3 linked regions of the Macaca mulatta genome follow. The protein of the gene in region 1 interacts with the protein of each later gene in a pairwise test. Links are inferred from orthologs where the notes say so. Each region holds a gene or a part of one and is shown in the gene's direction. Other genes may lie near its edges.

Evidence for each region.
Region 2: the proteins of NMI (region 1) and MTMR9 interact in binary tests that used the Homo sapiens proteins (3 or more experiments, as listed by UniProt). The two-hybrid records come from large-scale screens. The link is inferred for Macaca mulatta from reciprocal best matches to the Homo sapiens genes NMI and MTMR9.
Region 3: the proteins of NMI (region 1) and BRMS1 interact in binary tests that used the Homo sapiens proteins (3 or more experiments, as listed by UniProt). The link is inferred for Macaca mulatta from reciprocal best matches to the Homo sapiens genes NMI and BRMS1.

Annotation. Positions count from the first base shown.
Region 1 is NC_133417.1:56,240,281-56,246,480, reverse strand, and holds the start of NMI (N-myc-interactor), read left to right. Parts: upstream 1-2,212; 5' UTR 2,213-2,219; coding exon 2,220-2,300; intron 2,301-3,122; coding exon 3,123-3,218; intron 3,219-6,200. UniProt on the Homo sapiens protein: Acts as a signaling pathway regulator involved in innate immune system response.
Region 2 is NC_133413.1:10,002,027-10,008,165, reverse strand, and holds the start of MTMR9 (myotubularin-related protein 9), read left to right. Parts: upstream 1-2,669; 5' UTR 2,670-2,765; coding exon 2,766-2,947; intron 2,948-6,139. UniProt on the Homo sapiens protein: Acts as an adapter for myotubularin-related phosphatases. Increases lipid phosphatase MTMR6 catalytic activity, specifically towards phosphatidylinositol 3,5-bisphosphate and MTMR6 binding affinity for phosphorylated phosphatidylinositols.
Region 3 is NC_133419.1:8,077,341-8,083,589, forward strand, and holds the start of BRMS1 (breast cancer metastasis-suppressor 1), read left to right. Parts: upstream 1-2,779; 5' UTR 2,780-2,868; intron 2,869-5,634; 5' UTR 5,635-5,641; coding exon 5,642-5,780; intron 5,781-6,249. Other genes in the region: B4GAT1 (beta-1,4-glucuronyltransferase 1), read left to right, coding at 298-1,353, 1,603-1,794. UniProt on the Homo sapiens protein: Transcriptional repressor. Down-regulates transcription activation by NF-kappa-B by promoting the deacetylation of RELA at 'Lys-310'. Promotes HDAC1 binding to promoter regions.

The DNA of each region.
Region 1 (6,200 bases):
ATTGTATGTGTCTGTGCATGTGTTTTAGTGCTTTTTACTTTTCTAGCTCTACAAGATATTCCAGGCTTATTTTGTATATTTTATGCCCCAGACCCAGAATCAGCCATTGCTCCAATGAGCCCTGGTTTCTTATATTGAAGAATATTATTAGAAACCAAGATCTGGGTGTTATGCGACTCTCCTCTTTTTTTTTTTTTTTTTTTTTTTGACACTCTTCTAACTAAACTGAGACATGGCTAAGTATTTGCTAGTCTTCTATTTTATTTTTAAGGAGGAATAGATGTCTTTTATTTCTCTTTCAAGAATATTGAGAATTTAGCCACTTGAAATCTTGGAAAATTATATTGCAGACTGTTTATTAATGTGTATCTAAAAACATAGAATCATGATATCCTTTGTCCCATTTTTGATCTGGGAGTTTTTCATCTCAGTAATTTCATATGTAGGCAAGAGTTCTTAAATTTTTTGTACCATGGATTCCTTTGCCAGCTTGGCAAATCCTATGGGCCTTTCTCCAAAAAAAAAAAAAAAAAAAAAAAAAAAAATTTGGTGGGGGCAGGCATGGTGGCCTATCCCAGCATTTTGGGAGTCCAAGGGGGGCGGATTGTTTGAGCCCAGAAGTTCGAGACCAGTCTAGGCAACTTGGTGAAAACCCATCTCTACAAAAAATACAAAAATTAGCTGGGCATGGTGGCGCACACCTGTAGTCCCAACTACTTGGGGGACTGAGGTGGGAGGATCACTTGAGCTTGGGATGTTGAGGCTGCAGTGAGCGTGTTCGTGCCCTACTGCACTCCAGCCTGGGCAACAAAGTGAGACCCTATCTAAAAAAAAAAAAAAACAAAACATTAAATGCATAAAATAAAATACTTAGAATTACAAAGGAAATCAATTGTATTGAAATATGGCTGGGATTATGGGCACCTGCCACCACGCCCAGTTAATTCTTTTTTGTATTTTTAGTAGAGATGGGGTTTCACCATGTTGGTCAGGCTGGTCTCAAACTCTTGACCTCATGATCCACCTGCTTTGGCATCCCAAAGTGCTGGGATTACAGCCGTGAACCACTGCGCCTGGCCAGAAATCAATTGTATTAAAATATGGTTATCAGACTATTTTAAAAGCAAATGTTTGATATAGTGATATATATCAATGTATTACAATGTATTACAAGACCTAGTGTTGAGCTTAGTAACTAATGTAGAAGCAACGTTAGACACAAACTATTTTAGCATATCTGCAACAATATTCTATGAAACTGTGCTTTCTACTGGTGACTATCACAGGTGCTGTGAATACTACTATAGTTTGTTACAATATTCATAATTGAAGAGAATGCTAAGCTTCAATTAGAGGTTATTAGAAATAAACATGTAATTTCTTCCCAATCCATGTTTATGGACCCAGCGGGAGAGTTAGTGAAAGCTCCAGGTAAGAACACCTGTGTAGAGAAAGCATATGTTGGAGGCCTCTTGACTTTGACTTTGTTTATATTTGGGGAGAACAATAGGGAGAATTAAATATTTTAATCAAAACCTTTGAAAAATGTTGGAAAACCAAAATAGTATTCTTTTAAAATGGAGCATGATATTATGATTGGAATATGAACTACAAAGGAACATTAATGTTCATTAGTTTCTGTATATTATTTTGTTGAAAAGCAAAGGATTTTTAGAATCTTTTTACATATTATAGATGTGAAAGTTATTTGAAATAGTGGCCAGGCGTGGTGGTGACTCACACCTGTAATCCCAACACTTTGGGAGGCTGAGGGGGGCGCATCACTTGAAGACAAGAGTTCAAGACCAGCCTGACAAACATGGTGAAACCCCATCTCTACTAAAAATACAAAAATTAGCTGGGCATGGTGGCAGGTAGCTGTAATCCCAGCTACTTGGGAGGCTGAGGCAGGAGAATCTCTTGAACCTGGGAGGCAGAGATTGCAGTGAGCCGAGATCAGACTATTGCCTTCCAGCCTGAGCGACAGAGTGAGACTCTGTCTCAAAAAAAAAAAAAAAAAAAAAAAGGAGTTATTGAAATACAGACTTTGTTTGGATATAAGCCATATGAGAATAAAGCCTTTGATGATAGGAAAAAAGATATAGCAAAGAAGAGAGATGTTTCTTCCATAAAAGGGTAAAAGTTGTTATTTCTTTGTTCTGAAATTTGTGTATATATGCTATGCTTACAATATTTATTTTTTATAATGTTAGGGAATCATGGAAGCTGATAAAGACAACACACAACAAGTTCTTAAGGAGCATGGGCCACATGAATTTATAAAAGATGAACAAAATAAGGTAAAAAGGAAATTACTGGGTATTATTAAAAATTAATTTATATCTATTAGTTTTGCAGTAAGGCATGTTTTGTATGTCTTTGTCCAACATTACCTTGAATTTGGGAGGCTGTTAGGCTTTAAAAAATTTTTTAACTTCCATTATGTTATTTAAGTCTTACAAGAAGTGTCGTATTTTTATTCTTTCTCATATAAGGCTTACAACACTAGCTGCTTTCTCACTCACACCCTCATTTCTTGGATTTGCATCAACAAGTTAAGAGCACAGTTAGCAAGTATCTCATTAGACCCCAAGAGGGAACAGAGGCCAGGTAGATTAAACTACTTCCCCAAGGTCATATGTCTGGCTTGTTAAGGCAGCTGTGTACTATGGGATACTATGGGAATCACAGATAATTAAAAACACCACCACCACCACCAACAACAACAAACTGCCCCAGAATATGTCCGCTATTACAGTGCAATTTAAAAGTCTTATCATGGTCACAAATAGCTAAGAAAGGAGTTGATGCAGCACTGAAGTAATATTCAGAAGATCTGATCTCAATCTTTGCCTTACTATACAAATTTCTGTGACTTTGGCCTAGTGTAAAAGGTGGTTTCCTGATTTATATGATGGAGATAGTACTAGTTGGCAATGTTAGAATGGACAGGTGATGATGTAAAATATTCAACAAATGCATTATGCACATAGTCATATTTATTCTGAGACTGTCTAATGTCTTTCTTTGCTCAGGATGAGAGAAATTTATAGTCTTTAGTTCATTCAGAAAAATGAGTTTGGGGCTATTTACTTTCTTTGGTACCGTTTGATATTTTTAAGGAACTAATTGATGAAATGACAAAGGAAAATATTCAACTAAAGAAGGAGATCCAAAAGCTCGAAACGGAGTTACAAGAGGCTACCAGAGAATTCCAGGTACTCTCTTAATTATTTTATACACTACATTTTTGATGGACGCATGGTTTTTGGAAAAAGCATTTTAATTATATAAAATTCATTTTTAAAACCTTATCATCCATGGCACCACCATTTGTAATAGTTCAAAATGGAAAACAACCCAATGATTCCTTCATAATAGATGAGTTAGTGAAGTGGGGTATAGTCATATGATAGAAAACTACACAGCAATGAGAATGAACAGATCATAACGACATGCAGCAACACAAATGAGTTTCATAAACACAATGTTAACACAAAAAAGACAGATGAGGGCGTACCATATGCTTCCCTTTAAATTAAGCAAAAGCAGGATGTTCGAAGTTAAAACAGTGGTTACTTTTGGAAGCAGGTAAGACCCGGAAGGGGACCCAAGGGAGTTTCTGGAGTGTTGTCATGTTCTGCCTGTCATCTGTGTGCCAATCACATATGTGTTAGCTTTGTAAAATTGCATCTTGCTGTACTTATGATACATGCATTTTTCTATTATTTATACACTTTAATAAATTTACCAAAGCAAACATTAATAAAATTTACCAAAAAAAGATGATCATTAGCAAATCACTGTTGGATCAAATTCTGGCTTTTCTCACTGAGTTCTTTTATTATTATTCTCATCCAAGGTGCTTTGCTAATTTAAATGAGTTTCACAGTTTAAAAAATTGGACATATATTAATCCTCACTATTTAAATTCTCTCCTAAATTTTCCTGTATTTTAAATATACATAATTTTCACCCATTTTTTTTCTTAACAACTCAGATTGTTAAAAAATTAAAGCATTCAGGCTGGGCGTGGTGGCTCATGTCTATAATCCCAGCACTTTGGGAGGCTGAGGCGAGTGGATCATGGGGTCAGGAGTTCAAGACCAGCCTGACCAAGATGGTGAAACCCCGTCTCTACCAAAAATACAAAAAAAAAAAAAAAAAAATTAGCCGGGCATGGTGGCGGGTGCCTGTATCCCAGCTACTTGGGAGGCTGAGGCAGAGAATTGCTTGAACCTGGGAGGCGGAGGTTGCCGTGAGTTGAGATTGCGCCACTGTGCTCCAGCCTGGGTGACAGAGCGAGACTCCGCCTAAAAAAAAAAAAAAAAAATTAAAACATTGACTCTTTTTGTTTCTGAAGTGGGAGATAGGACATTGAATATCAGGAAGTGAGGTTTTCTGTGTTTATGAGATGGGTGACTTTGCAGAAGACTCTGTTAAGATTCTGGTTACTTCTCAGACTGGAGCTAGAATCATGCAGTCTTACAACCCAGAGAGCCTTTAGAAACCAGCCAGCCTTAGTCCACCCACTTTGCAGGGGACCGAACCCATGATCAGAGAGCTGAAGTGAATTTGCTCTGTCACAGTGTGGTCAGAAATAGAATCAAGCTTTCTCACTCTAATTTCAGAAAGGCCTTGGTTCCTCAGCATATACTGGGTATTTCTGCATTATTGGGTAACAGTCTGCCTTTTCTCAGACATTGTAGATTGTTTTGATGTCAGCCTTACCGTAATCAGAAGTTCCACTGGAGTTATGTGTACAGGCAAAGAATAAATGTAAGATTAAATCGAATGACTCACTGAATATTTCTCATCTCTGTCATTTTCAGCATGTAAAATAACCATGGGAAATAGAAATGCAAGCACCTAGCTCATTTGTGCTTTTATGTGTGGTTATACAAATCTGTTAATCCCAATAATTCTAAGCGGCTAAGTGTAACGACCTACCTTTATCTTTCAGGTTACAATTTTTTTGTTTGTTTGTTTGTTTGTTTGTTTGTTTTTGAGACAGAGTTTTGTTCTTGTTGCTCAGGCTGGAGTGCAATGGTGCGATCTCAGTTCACTACAACATCTGCCTCCCTGGTTCAAGCGATTCTCCTGCCTCAGCCTCCTGAATAGCCGGGATTACAGGCGGTTGCCACCACGCCTAGCTAACTTTTGTATTTTATTAGAGACGGGTTTTACCATGTTGGCCAGGCTGGTCTCCAACTCCTGACCTCAGGTGATCTGCCTGCTTCGGCCTCCCAAAGTGCTGGGATTACGAGTGTGAGCCACCTGCCCAGCCTCAGCTTACAATTTTTGTTGATACTGTCCCTTCTCGTTTTTTATGAACCTAAGTTGTGGTAATGGTTAAAAAGTTGATGGGCAGGTGTTGGGGAAGGTGGAATTTGTAAATTTGATAAATTTAACATCATCTAATTCTAGGCCAGGTGTGGTGGCTCACGCCTGTAATCCCAGAACTTTGGGAGGCCAAGGCAGGTGGATCATGAGGTGAAGAGATTGAGACCATCCTGGCCAACATGGTGAAACCCTGTCTTTACTGAAAATACAAAATACGAAAATTAGCTGGGTGTGGTAGCGCATGCCTGTAGTTCCAGCTACTTGGGAGACTGAGGCAGGAAAATTGCTTGAACCAGGGAGATGGAGGTTGCAGTGAACCGAGATCACACCACTGTACTCCAGCCTGGCAACAGAGTGAGACTTTGTCTCTAAATAAATAAATAAATAAAGTTACCTAATTCTGGAGTCTTTCTTTTTGGATGAAATTATCTGGATTTGAAATACCATATTATACCCAACACTATATTTCATACTTTGCAGCAAAATTAAACATGCTATCTAATGACTTCCTTTTGAGATAGTCTGTTATTGACACTTGTTTAAAAATTCCTTATTTACATGAATGATGTAGGCTTTAGAATTGAACACCGTACAATATTGACAGTTTAAACATTGATTAGAAAAAAGTGAGAGGATTATGTATTTTTAATTTCATCTGTGAAATGATATTAAAAGATCAGCATTTGATTACTTTACTGAGTACTTACATGGGAAAAAGCAATTACTAAAGATGTTAAGTAAGACCATACTCAATATTCTATAAGGTTCTAAAATCAGTGGGGAATGAATTATTGGTTGACCAAATTACATTATCATTGGAAGAACTTAAGTTATTTCTTGTCTTGATTTTAATCAAA
Region 2 (6,139 bases), on another chromosome or scaffold:
TTCTGTCTCAGTCTCCCGAGTAGCTGGGATTACAGGTGTGCGCCACCATGCCCAGCTAATTTTTTGTATTTTTACAAGAAACAGGGTTTCACCATGTTGGCCAGGCTGGTCTCAAACTCCTGACCTGAGGTGATCCGCCTGCCTCAGCCTCCCAAAGTGCTAGGATTACTGGCGTGAGCCACTGTGCCCGGCTGGGAGTTATATTGAATTCGGAGGCTAAAAACCAAGTGTACAGGTTCCAGTCCAAGTGGCTGGTAAATGTAGTAGGAACTGGTGCCGCACAGGGAAAAGGCTCCTTTTTTTCCAAGACAAAAATTGTTTTCCATGGTGAACATGTGGGTAAGTTGGTTGTTTTCACTTTCCCAAGTGGTTAAGTTTCCTGCTAAAGTGGCCAAGGGAAAATGTGAACCCAGCTAGTGGGCCCACCTTCACAGTACTTAGACTGTGTATCCTTTAAAATGCCCTTAACTAGGGATGATTTGCATGAAAAGCATACAGGTTTTCTAAGTGATGCAGTGTGGTTAACTGCATAGCTTACATGATTGTGTGAGGGTTAATTTCTAGGGTGTGGTTGCACTAATACCTTCAAGGTTCCCAGGGCCTGAACAGAATTTTGGCATCTTTCAATACAAAGTGGCATCTGGAATTTTAGCTCTGTGCATGTTGATATTGGGCCGCCAGTGATTTTCTGTGGGAATGCAACCTCAAAAAGGTTGCTCTGATAGGACTGGAGAGGGTTTACTGCTCATCTTGTCATTTTAACTTTTGTCATTTCCATATTTTTGAAGTCTTATAAGTCGTCCAGATTCATTAATTCAAAGGGAGTTCCTCCCTGGTAGTTGGAATGATAGGTCATTTTTTTCAAGGGCCCAAGACTGGGCTGGGATTGGGATGGCAGTATATCTAGATGAAGATGGAGATAAACAAAGCCAACAGTCCTTTGCCAGAGCTGAGCTGGTGATATTTAACAATCTTTGCATTAAATTTAAAGTTCTTAATAAATACCCAGAATTGATTAATTGCCAGAGGGGTAAAGTGAAGCTCTGTTGTAAAAGAAAGCTGATTCTACGTATCCATGATCTCAGTATCCAAAGGCTGTGTGTGACCATTATGGAACAAAAAAATACTTATTTGCTATTTTGTGCGACAGAATGGGAACTTCAGGGTGTGGATACCTATGCTGTCAGGAATGCTAGTTATAAAAATGAATTAAAACACCTCATATATTACAAAAGAAGTGATTCCATCTATTTGGACGAAAGCAATTAAACTGCAAAAATATAAAAAATGGCAACTATTATCCAGTCTACAGTAACTATGCCACAAAGACACCAAGGAAAGTTGGTAGGCATTTACCTATCTCACTTACGACAGTTCTAAAAAGTGTTTTATTTTAAGAAGGGAACATGTTAAGAAGGGCAAAATCAAAAGCATGGACAAGTGTTGGATGAGCTGATGAGGTTGTGGCAATTTACTTCGTGAATACTGTGAGATTGTGTCCTGTGCTTCGGTACTAGATGGTGAGGATTTAAAAGGTCAATGAAGTCACAGCAGACCAGCACTCAAACATATTTCTCTTCTATTTCCTATTTTTGAATAAAAATGTCAGTTTCAAGTGGGCGGTGGGAAAGGGACACGCAAAGGAGTAATTATTTGAATACATTTTTGGCGCAACGTGGGTGTCTGACGCTGAGGCTGTGCAGTGGTGACCACTGCACCCATGCGCTGGGTTTCACAGGTGCAGATCGAAGTCCATGCTCTGCTGCAGATTGACTGGGTGGCCGCCATCAACTCAAGTGACTTACTCTTCTGTGCATCGCATCTACATCTATTTGGGTTCCTCTCACAGGTATTCCTGTCTTGCTCCAGGTCACACTTCGTGGCGCGGCCCTCACGGGGAGTCAGTGGCGTGGCCCTGTGTCCCTCCCTGACCCCTGGAGGATTCCCTAAGGTCACAGTCCCCGCCTCATCCCATACTTGCCATCTCTTCAGGGCTAATGCATAACAATTGTCATAATTTACAGCAGCCCCACGCTCTGAAGAGCTTCTGGAGGGGGTACTACTCAAGCGGAGGGAGACAAGACAGGGACCTCCTCCCATCGTCCCCTCTTAACGGGCCTCTTCTGATAAGGAATATTTGTAGATGGGTGAGAAGGGCAGCGGGAGGGCGTGAAGGTAAAGACAAGTTTTTTTTTTTTCTCGTAGGAACCCAAATCTTCTGGTCTGGCTGTGTTTCCGGAGGCATTTCCAGAGGACCTAGAGAGGACCGACTTCCGGCTGCGACTTCCGCGTCTTCCGAGTTTGGAGACCTGCTGCTTCCGCCCGGAGTTGCTGTGGGCTCCAGCTGCGAGCAGCCACTTCCGCCAGGAGTCCCTAGCGGCCAGGGCGTGGAAGTGGGTCCTGAAGCGGCTTCGTCCTACTGCCCGCCGCGTGCCCAAGCGGGACCCGAAGCCCGGCGGCAGCGGCGGTCCCTGGGCCTGTGGAGAGGCGTTCTCTGTGGCCGAGTCCTGGGCCTGGGAGACGGGGCGGTGCGGGAGAGGCGCCCGGGCCTAGCCCAGCCCCAGCGCCTGTCTCCTTGCCGCTGGTGCCGGCGGCTGCAGGCCTCGCCGCGCCCGCCCAGCCTGGGGCGGGCCCAGCCTCACCGCCCGGCCCGCCCCGCCCCAAGGGCCAGCCCCGCGCCGGGTGTTTCCGCTCCTCTCCCTGCGGCGGGATAACCGCCTCGCACCTGCCGGGCTCGGTTCCCTGGCTCCGGCCGCGGGGGGAGCATGGAGTTTGCGGAGCTGATTAAGACCCCGCGGGTGGACAATGTGGTGCTGCACCGGCCTTTCTACCCGGCTGTCGAGGGCACCCTGTGCCTGACGGGCCACCACTTGATCCTGTCCTCCCGGCAGGACAACACGGAGGAGCTGTGGCTCCTTCATTCAAACATCGACGCCATCGACAAGCGGTGAGTGCCTGCCCCACCCCAGCTCCGCAGGGAGCCGGGGATCCCCTGTGGGCGCCCCGGGAAACACTTCCTGGCGTTTTCCGCGCATCCTGCCGCCCAGCTGGCCGGCAGGATGAGCCCTCTGTGGCCTAGAATCAGGATTTACCTGGCAGAAACCCGTCCAGATGGAGGATCCGGTTTCCATTAAACCTGGATGGAGTTCTCAGGGTTATCTTGTGGCTGGTATCATCCTGATGATCTGGTTCGTAACACCATTTGGGTGGATTTTCGGCATTGTCTTTATAAATTTCTTCTTCTTGCCCCATCGTATTCCTTGAATCGGTATTGTCAATCACAGTTCATGAAGTTGTGATTGGATGTGACTTAGGCAAGTGTTTACCATTTTTGAGGAAAATTCAACTGATTATAAAGTTATGAGTGCCTACATGCCTCAGAACCATTTTTTAATTTCTGAAATATGTTCAGTTTATTATGTTTCTTACCTTCTGGGTCATCAATTTCATTCTCACTAAGGGAGGTTCTGTTGTCTTCTCTTCATCTTTACTCAGTTCTGCTTGCTGAAAGAACAGGGTTGGCTCTCAAGGAAAGGCATGGACCAATTAACCTCTTTTTCATTTTTGTACTCCAGACTATCTTTCCAAGGCAGTGCCTCGAAGTCAAAAAGTTATACTTTAATCTGCAGTCAAAATTTCCATCTCCTTAGTGGCTTCTCTCTAGCCAGGAGAGGGCAAACTGATTATCCAGTTTACACGGAAATAGAAATGAATGACGACAACGTTTTCTATTGCCTCACAGGATAATTTGGATTTTAGGAAGATTCCTAGAGAGGATATGCCTTAAAATAATAATTTCTTTTTTTTTTTTTGAGACGGAATCTCACTATGTTGCCCAGGCTGGAGTACAGTGGCCAATCTCACTATGTTGTCCATGCTGGAGTGCAGTGGCAAATCCCGAGTAGCTGGGATTACAGGTGTCCGCCGGTACACCCGGCTAATTTTTGTATTTTTTAGTAGAGATGGGGTTTCACCATATTGGCCAGGCTGGTCTCGAACTCCTGACCTCGCAATCCTCCTGCCTTGCCCTCCCACAGTTCTGGGATTGCAGGCGTGAGCCACCGTGCCCGGCCTAAAATAATAATTTCTAATGGTAGAATTGCAGGAAGTTTGGGTGACGCAGCGGTAGATTGATTGATTTGAGCAGGGGGCTCTTATTAGTCTCCTCAAGTCACCTTTTGCTGTATAAAGTCTTCAGTGGGCCCGGCGCAGTGGCTCACGCCTGTAATCCCAGCACTTTGGGAGGCCGAGGCGGGCGGATCACCTGAGGTCAGGAGTTTGAGACCAGCCTGACCAACATGATGAAACCCCATCTCTGCTAAAAATACAAAAAATTAACCGGGCGTGGTGGCAGGCGCCTGTAATCCCAGCTACTCAGCTACTCAGGAGGCTGCGGTGGAAGAATCGCTTGAACCTTGAGACAGAGGTTGCAGTGAGCCGAGATCGCGCCACTGCACTCCTTCCTTTGCAACAAGAGCAAAACTCCATCTCAAAAAAAAAAAAAAGTCTTCAGTGGTCTCTCATTGAAAATCTAAACCCCTCACAGTCATTCATGGCATTCTGTGTCCCAGCCCTAGCCTACTTTCTCACTTTATTTCTTGCCATTTCTTTCAATGAGCCCTTCTTGCACTTCCTTTCATGAACCTTTTTACCAGCCAGTCCTCACCATTTACTGGTGCTGGTATATGTCCTGTATTCCGTCATCTGTGTATTTTATTGACTTCTTCCTTCTGCTGGAATGCCTTGCCTCTCCCAAGTTTGTTAAACATTTGCCAAATGCCTTTATGTTCTGGACATTTTGTGAGGCACTTAAGACACCAAGATGAATAAAATATATCACAGTTCTTGTCTTTCAGGAGTTCACATGGCAATGAGCCTGTTACCCGTCTATGAGTATTCAGTTTAACCATTTCGACCGCTACCTCCTTCACAGATTCTTCTGTTAATTCCACAACTGGAATTCATTTTTATCTCCTTCGAAACTTCTAACTGTGGCTTGGGCATATAGACACATAGGAAATAAAAGAAGGATTGACCGCTGAATGGTTCAGTGACGCCATTGAATACAAATGAGTAGTCTCTCCGTGACCATCAACTGCCTTTCCTTTCTTATTTACCTTTTATTGTGTTTACTTTTCGCTCATTCCTTTCCTCCTGTTTACCTTGCGTTTACAAGGTGCTGGGCTTTGTAGTGCATGAAGAAGAAGCAGATGAGCCATGGACCTTTGAATCTGTTGGGAGAGAATGATGAACTGTGCACACATTTATCTTTCTCCTGGGAAGCAGTGTGGTGTAGTGGAAAGAGCATAGGGGAGGCATCACATCAGAGTTTGTTCAATTGCTGCTTTCAAGAAATCTTCACATCCACCCGTTTTCCATGTGTGCTGTCTAGCTGTGCGGCTGCGGTGGTGACTAAGACAAGCTGCTTAGGTACTGGCCGGGGAGATGGACAATCAAGCAAGTCCAGGAATAAATACGTATAATGATGTCAGGTAATAAGTGCCAGGAAGGAAAATAACGGAAGATGAGAGGATAAAGAACACCGGGAGGCATTTTCTTTAGAAAGGATTTCAGAGAAGGCAGGTGACATCTGACTAGAGACTGGAATGAAACGAGGAAGCTAGAAATGTGAGTATCTGGCGGAAGAGCATTCTAGCCGGAGGGAACAGTGAGTGCAAAGACTTGAGATGGGGAACATGCTTGGCATGTGCAGGGAAGAGCAAAGAGGCCAGTGTGGCTGCAGGGCAGGAACAGAGGGTGCAGGAAGTCGATGGTAGAGATGGTGGCTGGAGGGATAAGTGTCGCCAGACCGTGGAGGGCCTGCAGGCCACAGTGGTTTTCATGGGAGACCTGGGAGAGGCAAAAGCTAGGAAGCAGTGGCTGATAGACGTTTCAGAAGACAATTATGGCTGCTGGCAGAAAGTGAACTGTACAGGGGCAAGACTGGAAGCAGCAGGCCCAGCTAGGAGAGTAGAGTAGTTCGCATAAAAGATGGTGGTAGGCTGGGTGCGGTGGCTCATGCCTGTAATCCCAGTATTTTGGGAGGCTGAGGCAGACAGATCACCCTGAGGTCAGGAGTTCAAGACCAGCCTGACCAGTATGGTGAAACCTCATCTCTACTCAAAATACATAAAATAAC
Region 3 (6,249 bases), on another chromosome or scaffold:
CGGCGGGGCCCGGGCGGGCGGGGCATCTGCACGGCGCGCGGCCGGGCGGCGGGGCTGTGGCTCCTCCTCCCTCGCAGGGGACGAGCCGACGCGCAGGGGGCTGGGGGCGGCAGCGGCGGGCGGCCGGCGGCGGGAGGCGGGAGGCGGGAGGCGGGCGGGGCGGCGCGGCGCGCGGGGCTCGGCTGGCCTCGGCTCGCCTCGGCTGCGCTCGGCAGGCTGCGGTAAATCCGGGCTTGCGGCCGCTGGTGTAGTCTGTGGCCGGGTGGTCGTTGCTGCGCGCCCCGAGCCCCGACAGCCATGCAGATGTCCTACGCCATCAGGTGCGCCTTCTACCAGCTGCTGCTGGCCGCGCTCATGCTGGTGGCGATGCTGCAGCTGCTCTACCTGTCGCTGCTGTCCGGACTGCACGGACAGGAGGAGCAAGACCAATATTTTGAGTTCTTTCCCCCGTCCCCACGGTCCGTGGACCAGGTCAAGACGCAGCTTCGCACCGCGCTGGCCTCCGGAGGCGTACTGGACGCCAGCGGCGATTACCGCGTCTACAGGGGCCTGCTGAAGACCACCATGGAACCCAACGATGTGATCCTGGCCACGCACGCCAGCGTGGACAACCTGCTGCACCTGTCGGGTCTGCTGGAGCGCTGGGAGGGCCCACTGTCCGTGTCGGTGTTCGCGGCCACCAAGGAGGAGGCGCAGCTGGCCACGGTGCTGGCCTACGCGCTGAGCAGCCACTGCCCCGACATGCGCGCCAGGGTCGCCATGCACCTCGTGTGCCCCTCTCGTTACGAGGCAGCCGTGCCCGACCCCCGGGAGCCGGGGGAGTTTGCCCTGCTGCGGTCCTGCCAGGAGGTCTTTGACAAGCTAGCCAGGGTGGCCCAGCCCGGGATTAATTATGCGTTGGGCACCAATGTCTCCTACCCCAATAATCTGCTGAGGAATCTGGCTCGTGAGGGGGCCAACTATGCCCTGGTGATCGATGTGGACATGGTGCCCAGCGAGGGGCTGTGGAGAGGCCTGCGGGAAATGCTGGATCAGAGCAACCAGTGGGGCGGCACCGCGCTGGTGGTGCCTGCCTTCGAGATCCGACGAGCCCGCCGTATGCCCATGAACAAAAACGAGCTGGTGCAGCTCTACCAGGTTGGCGAGGTGCGACCCTTCTATTATGGGTTGTGCACACCCTGCCAGGCACCCACCAACTATTCCCGCTGGGTCAACCTGCCGGAAGAGAGCTTGCTGCGGCCTGCCTACGTGGTACCTTGGCAGGACCCCTGGGAGCCATTCTACGTGGCAGGAGGCAAGGTGCCCACCTTCGACGAGCGCTTTCGGCAGTACGGCTTCAACAGAATCAGCCAGGTGCTCATAAGGGAGAGGGCAGGGGTAATGGGGCAGGAGGGGTGGTGGGATCAGGGAGTTATGAGGAGTGGCCCTGGATGGAGAGGAGGCAATGAAGCAGGAGGGATCACCGTTCGGGAGGTGGGTGGATGGTGTGGAAGATTCAGGATACTTCCAGAGGGGTGAGAGCGCTGGACTGTGGCTTTAGAGAAGTCAGTCTCAGCCCTGTCAATGTCATCAAACTTTGCTGACCTGTCTTTCCTCCTACAGGCCTGCGAGCTGCATGTGGCGGGGTTTGATTTTGAGGTCCTGAACGAAGGTTTCTTGGTTCATAAGGGCTTCAAAGAAGCGTTGAAGTTCCATCCCCAAAAGGAGGCCGAAAATCAGCACAATAAGATCCTTTATCGCCAGTTCAAACAGGAGTTGAAGGCCAAGTACCCCAACTCTCCCCGACGCTGCTGAGCCCTTCCCTACCCTAGTCTGAGAAGTCAGCCTCTGGGCTCCTCAGGCCACCGTTTAGGCCTGACTGGGGTAAAAAATGTCGCTCCACTTTACAGAGGTAGCTGTGGTGTTGAAACACTGGACTTGAATATGGGGTGCTGGGATCGAGTCCTAGCTTTACCACTAACTAGCTGTGTGGCCTTGAGTAAATCCCGTTACCTCTCTGAGCCTCGGTTACCCTGTCTGTAAAAAGGGAGGTGAGAATACCTACCTCACGGAACTGTCGGGAGGCTCAGATGAGATGTTGTATGTGAAAACATTCTGTAAGCTTCGTACAAATGTGAAGTATTAATATTATCGCAGTATTATTATTGTTATTATTATTGTTATTATTAACAATCTTGGGTGGGTAGTAGGAGAGCAAAAAGTATGAATGGGATGGAGCTAAGAAGTCTGAGTACTTAATGAAATGGACTTTTTGGAAAGAAATCAGATGAAGGCATAAACTTTAGTTCTTAGCTCTTGAACAGAAGCCTAAAATTCTTGGTTCTCTCAGGCCTTCGCCCTCAAGGGCTCTAGAGGAGGGAAGACTCTGCAGGCTCCATGGGTGACAGCCTGAGATCTGTCCCTTCAACAGGCTGGGCTGGGTATGTGCCTACCGATGACAATGTGTAAATAAATGCGTGTTCACACCCACAGCTGGCTCCGTTACTCTCCTGAGCTGGGGGTGGGGTTCGGGGCCGGCTTCTCCCCTTGCACGCCATGGGGAGGTGGCAGCGGACGAAGGGCGCCGTCTGCAAAGCACTGAAACAGCAGGCCCTTTTCTGCAGGCCAAAGGCCTGCGCGAATGTCGGCCAGTTACTATGGAGACCGGCCCGCGGTATCCCAGCATGCCTCGGGACCAAACTGTCCAATTGTGAGCACCCCCGACGGTCGCCTCCTGATGACGCACACGGAAGCACCGATAGGCTCTGCCTCCCGGAGAAAAGGGAGCCGCGCAGCGCCTGCGGGAGACCGGCGCTGCTGCCGGTACCGGCAACCACGGGCACCTCTCAGGGAATATCGGTCTTGAGGCCAGAGGCCCCAGTCCCCGCGGTGCGTATCGCCATGCATGGCTTTTGGTTCGGCCTCTCCCGTTAGTCGAGCAGGGCCGGCACAATCTCCTCCTCCCAGGCCGAAGCAGAGATTTAACTGGCCTGATGCGTGCTGGGCTGCGGGCTAGCCAGCGATGTTCCGGCCCGCTCCCGCACATCTAGAAGCGAGCGGGAGGCCCCCTGGGCACCGCGGAGAAGCTGGGTTGACCTCTGCGAGAATGAGGAGGGCCTGCCTTCCCTAGGGGCGTGCCCCGGAGGAGCTGCCATTCTGAAAAGCTAAATTGCCTGTGTACAGCGCTTTACAATGTGCTTTTCCATCCCTTATACCACCGCGCTTTACAATGTCCTTTTCCATCCCTTACCACCTGCGAGCTCCTCAACACTCAGAGCAGGAATGGTTATCCGCTTTTTGCACCCGGGGTAAGATGGGAAGATTGTGACTTAACTCACTTATAATCAGAACCAGCTGGAGGAGAGAAAGGTTTCTGGAAGAGATAGATTTAAGCTGCGTCTTACAAAGTGAATATACTAACAGTGAAGAGGCATTGCAAGTGTTGGGAACTGAGGCTTGATAACGGGAAAGATGAAGCTGGTTTAGAGAACCGAGCTTTTCAAGTCAGGTGCAGATCATTAGTGAAATTGTTGAGGAATATGACTAAACGCTCACCTAGGCCAGGCTTATTATACACAACTTGAACTGGTGTCAAGGAAAGTTTGCTACCATCACAGGGACCTGGGACTACCGAAAAGTAAAAGCTAATGTCTGCCTCACAAAATTTTTTTGTTGTTGTTAAATTTGTATTTGCAAATCCTCCAGTCATCAAGTGAACCAGTACTGTGCTAGGTAAATAAGGTACGTGTGCAGCCCCTGCCCTAGTGAGGCTCATAGACTGATTGGGGGAACAGACATGAGAATAGGCAAATAGATACAAAGCTTCCTGGAGGGAGTGGCGTCTGCAGTGTACTAAAGGACTACAAGCAGTGTCCAGAGAAGTTGAAAGAACACAATAAAATAGAAGCCTGCAGGGGGCTGAGAGATTATCTGCTGAGAGGACTGTTTTCATCCTCTTAGGTGATCTCTTGGCAGTACTTGGCACTATCAGTACAATTACTACTTGGCAGTACTTGGCTTTCTTCTGAAATTCTCTTTCTCCACGACTTCGGGTTTTGCCTCCTCCTTTGTAGGGGTCTCCTCATCTGCCCCTTTGGTAACCCTGGGAGTTCCATTATGGGCGTCTTCTGATTGCACACATTCTCCCTTGCTAGTCGCACCGTCTCCTGTGGCATGAAGAACTTGCTGTATGCTGACGACCAAATCTCTGCAGCTCAGATTTCTCACTGAGACTTAGACCCATGTGCCCCCAGCTGCTTTCCTTCTCTTATTTCTGGGTCTTTGCTACTAACTCTACCTGGAATATTCCCTCAGTAAGTGCAGCTCACCCAGCTGGTCCATCTTTGGAAGCCTCCCTGCTGCATCGGGCTCCAGGTCCTGGTTATATACTCCTCCCTCATGCCCCTGGTCTTAACTCTCCTCATATCATGGTTATAGTGTGCTCCTTTGCCCCTCTCTCCCAGGAACTTGTAAACTCGGTGAGGTCAAAGACAGTCACACTTGGGGCCCCTGCATACCATAGCGTCTGACAGTACCCAGTATATGTTAGATGTTCAATACATGTTAGATGAGTCAGTAAAAGAAGGAATGCTTACCAGTGTTCAATGTTGCCGAGCAGACAATTAAAATAAGCACTGAAAAATATTGGCATTAGCCACAAGGAAGTCACTGGTTAATGCTACGGGATCAGTTTCAGCTGAGATTGATGACATTGAACGACTGGGAGGTCAAAGTAGGAACAGCCAGTGTTCATGAGACCTTGAAAAGCGTAACTGTGAAGTGGCAAACGGAGCAGTCAGGTGGAATGGGTGAAGTTTTGTGTTTCTGTGTTTTGTTAATGCTAGAAAATACCCAGGCACATCTAAAGTTTCATGGGAAGGAGGTTGCTAAGAGGGAGAAGCTGAAGACACAGAAAAGAGAGGGGAACACTGACGACCCGCGGTCCAAGAGGAGGCAGAAGGAGATGGGATTTGACCCAGAGCACAGTGAAAGACAAGGAGATTGTAGCGTTATCTGGAAGAGAAGCCGAGGGCATTATAGGCAGAAGGAACAGCTGAGGCAGAGGGCAGAAGGTGGAAGTGCAGGCACTAGCCATTATATGGTGGGATGAAGTTGCTGGACCGGTAGGTCAAGTCCAGTCTGGTAAAGACCTTGAAAGCCCCAGTTAGGAATTTAAGTCCAGTTCGGGTGTGGTGGCGGGTGCCTGTAGTCCCAGCTACTCGGGAGGCTGAGGCAAGAGAATTGCTTCAACCCGGGAGGCAGAGGTTGCAATGAGCCGAGATCGTGCCACTGCACTCCAGCCTGTCAACAGAGCGAGACTCCATCTCAAAAAGAAATTTAGGTCCAGTCCATAGGCAGTGGAGAGTGCCCCCTGGGCCTTTCCTTTATGTGGATCACAGCCTTGGCCAGTATTCCCAGGATTAGGATCACCAGTGACATCCAAGAGCAGGAGCATTTCCACAGCTCCCAGGCTTCTGTGAGAGGTGCAGACGGCCATTTGCACCCTTGTCACCCAGTATGTGCTCAAGGTGTGGCCAGGCCAGTCACTTCCCTGGCTTTCCCCATCTGGGATCAGGTTGGGTTCAGCTTCCTGCTGCCTCTTTCCCCCTCTGAGCTGTGGGCAGCCATAAGTGACAGCTCCATTCCTTCTCCCAGAGTCCGGATGCCCATCCAGCCTCCAAGCAAAGACACAGAAGAGATGGAAGCAGAGGGTGATTCCGCCACTGAGATGAATGGGGAGGAGGAAGAGAGTGAGGAGGAGCGGAGCGGCAGCCAGACAGAGTCAGAAGAGGAGAGCTCCGGTGAGCCCCTACACAAACACACACACACACACAGCCCCCACGCACAAGCATGCACATACATGCACATACAGCCCCTAGACACAAGCATACTCACACACAGCCTCTGCCACAAGCACACACACACAGCTTCTACACACAAGCATGCACATGCACACACAGCCCCTTCACACAAGCACCTACACACAGCCCCTGCACACAAGCACATGCACACGCACACACAGCCCCTACACACAAGCACATGCACATGCACACACAGCCCCTACACACAAGCACGCACGCACACACACAGCTTCTACACACAAGCATGCACACATACAGAGCCTCTACACACAAGCACGCACACACACAGAGCCTCTACACACAAGCACGCACACACACACAGCCCCTTCACACAAGCACGCATGCGCACACACACAGCCTCTACACACGAGCACCCACACACACACACAGCCTCTACACACGAGCACAC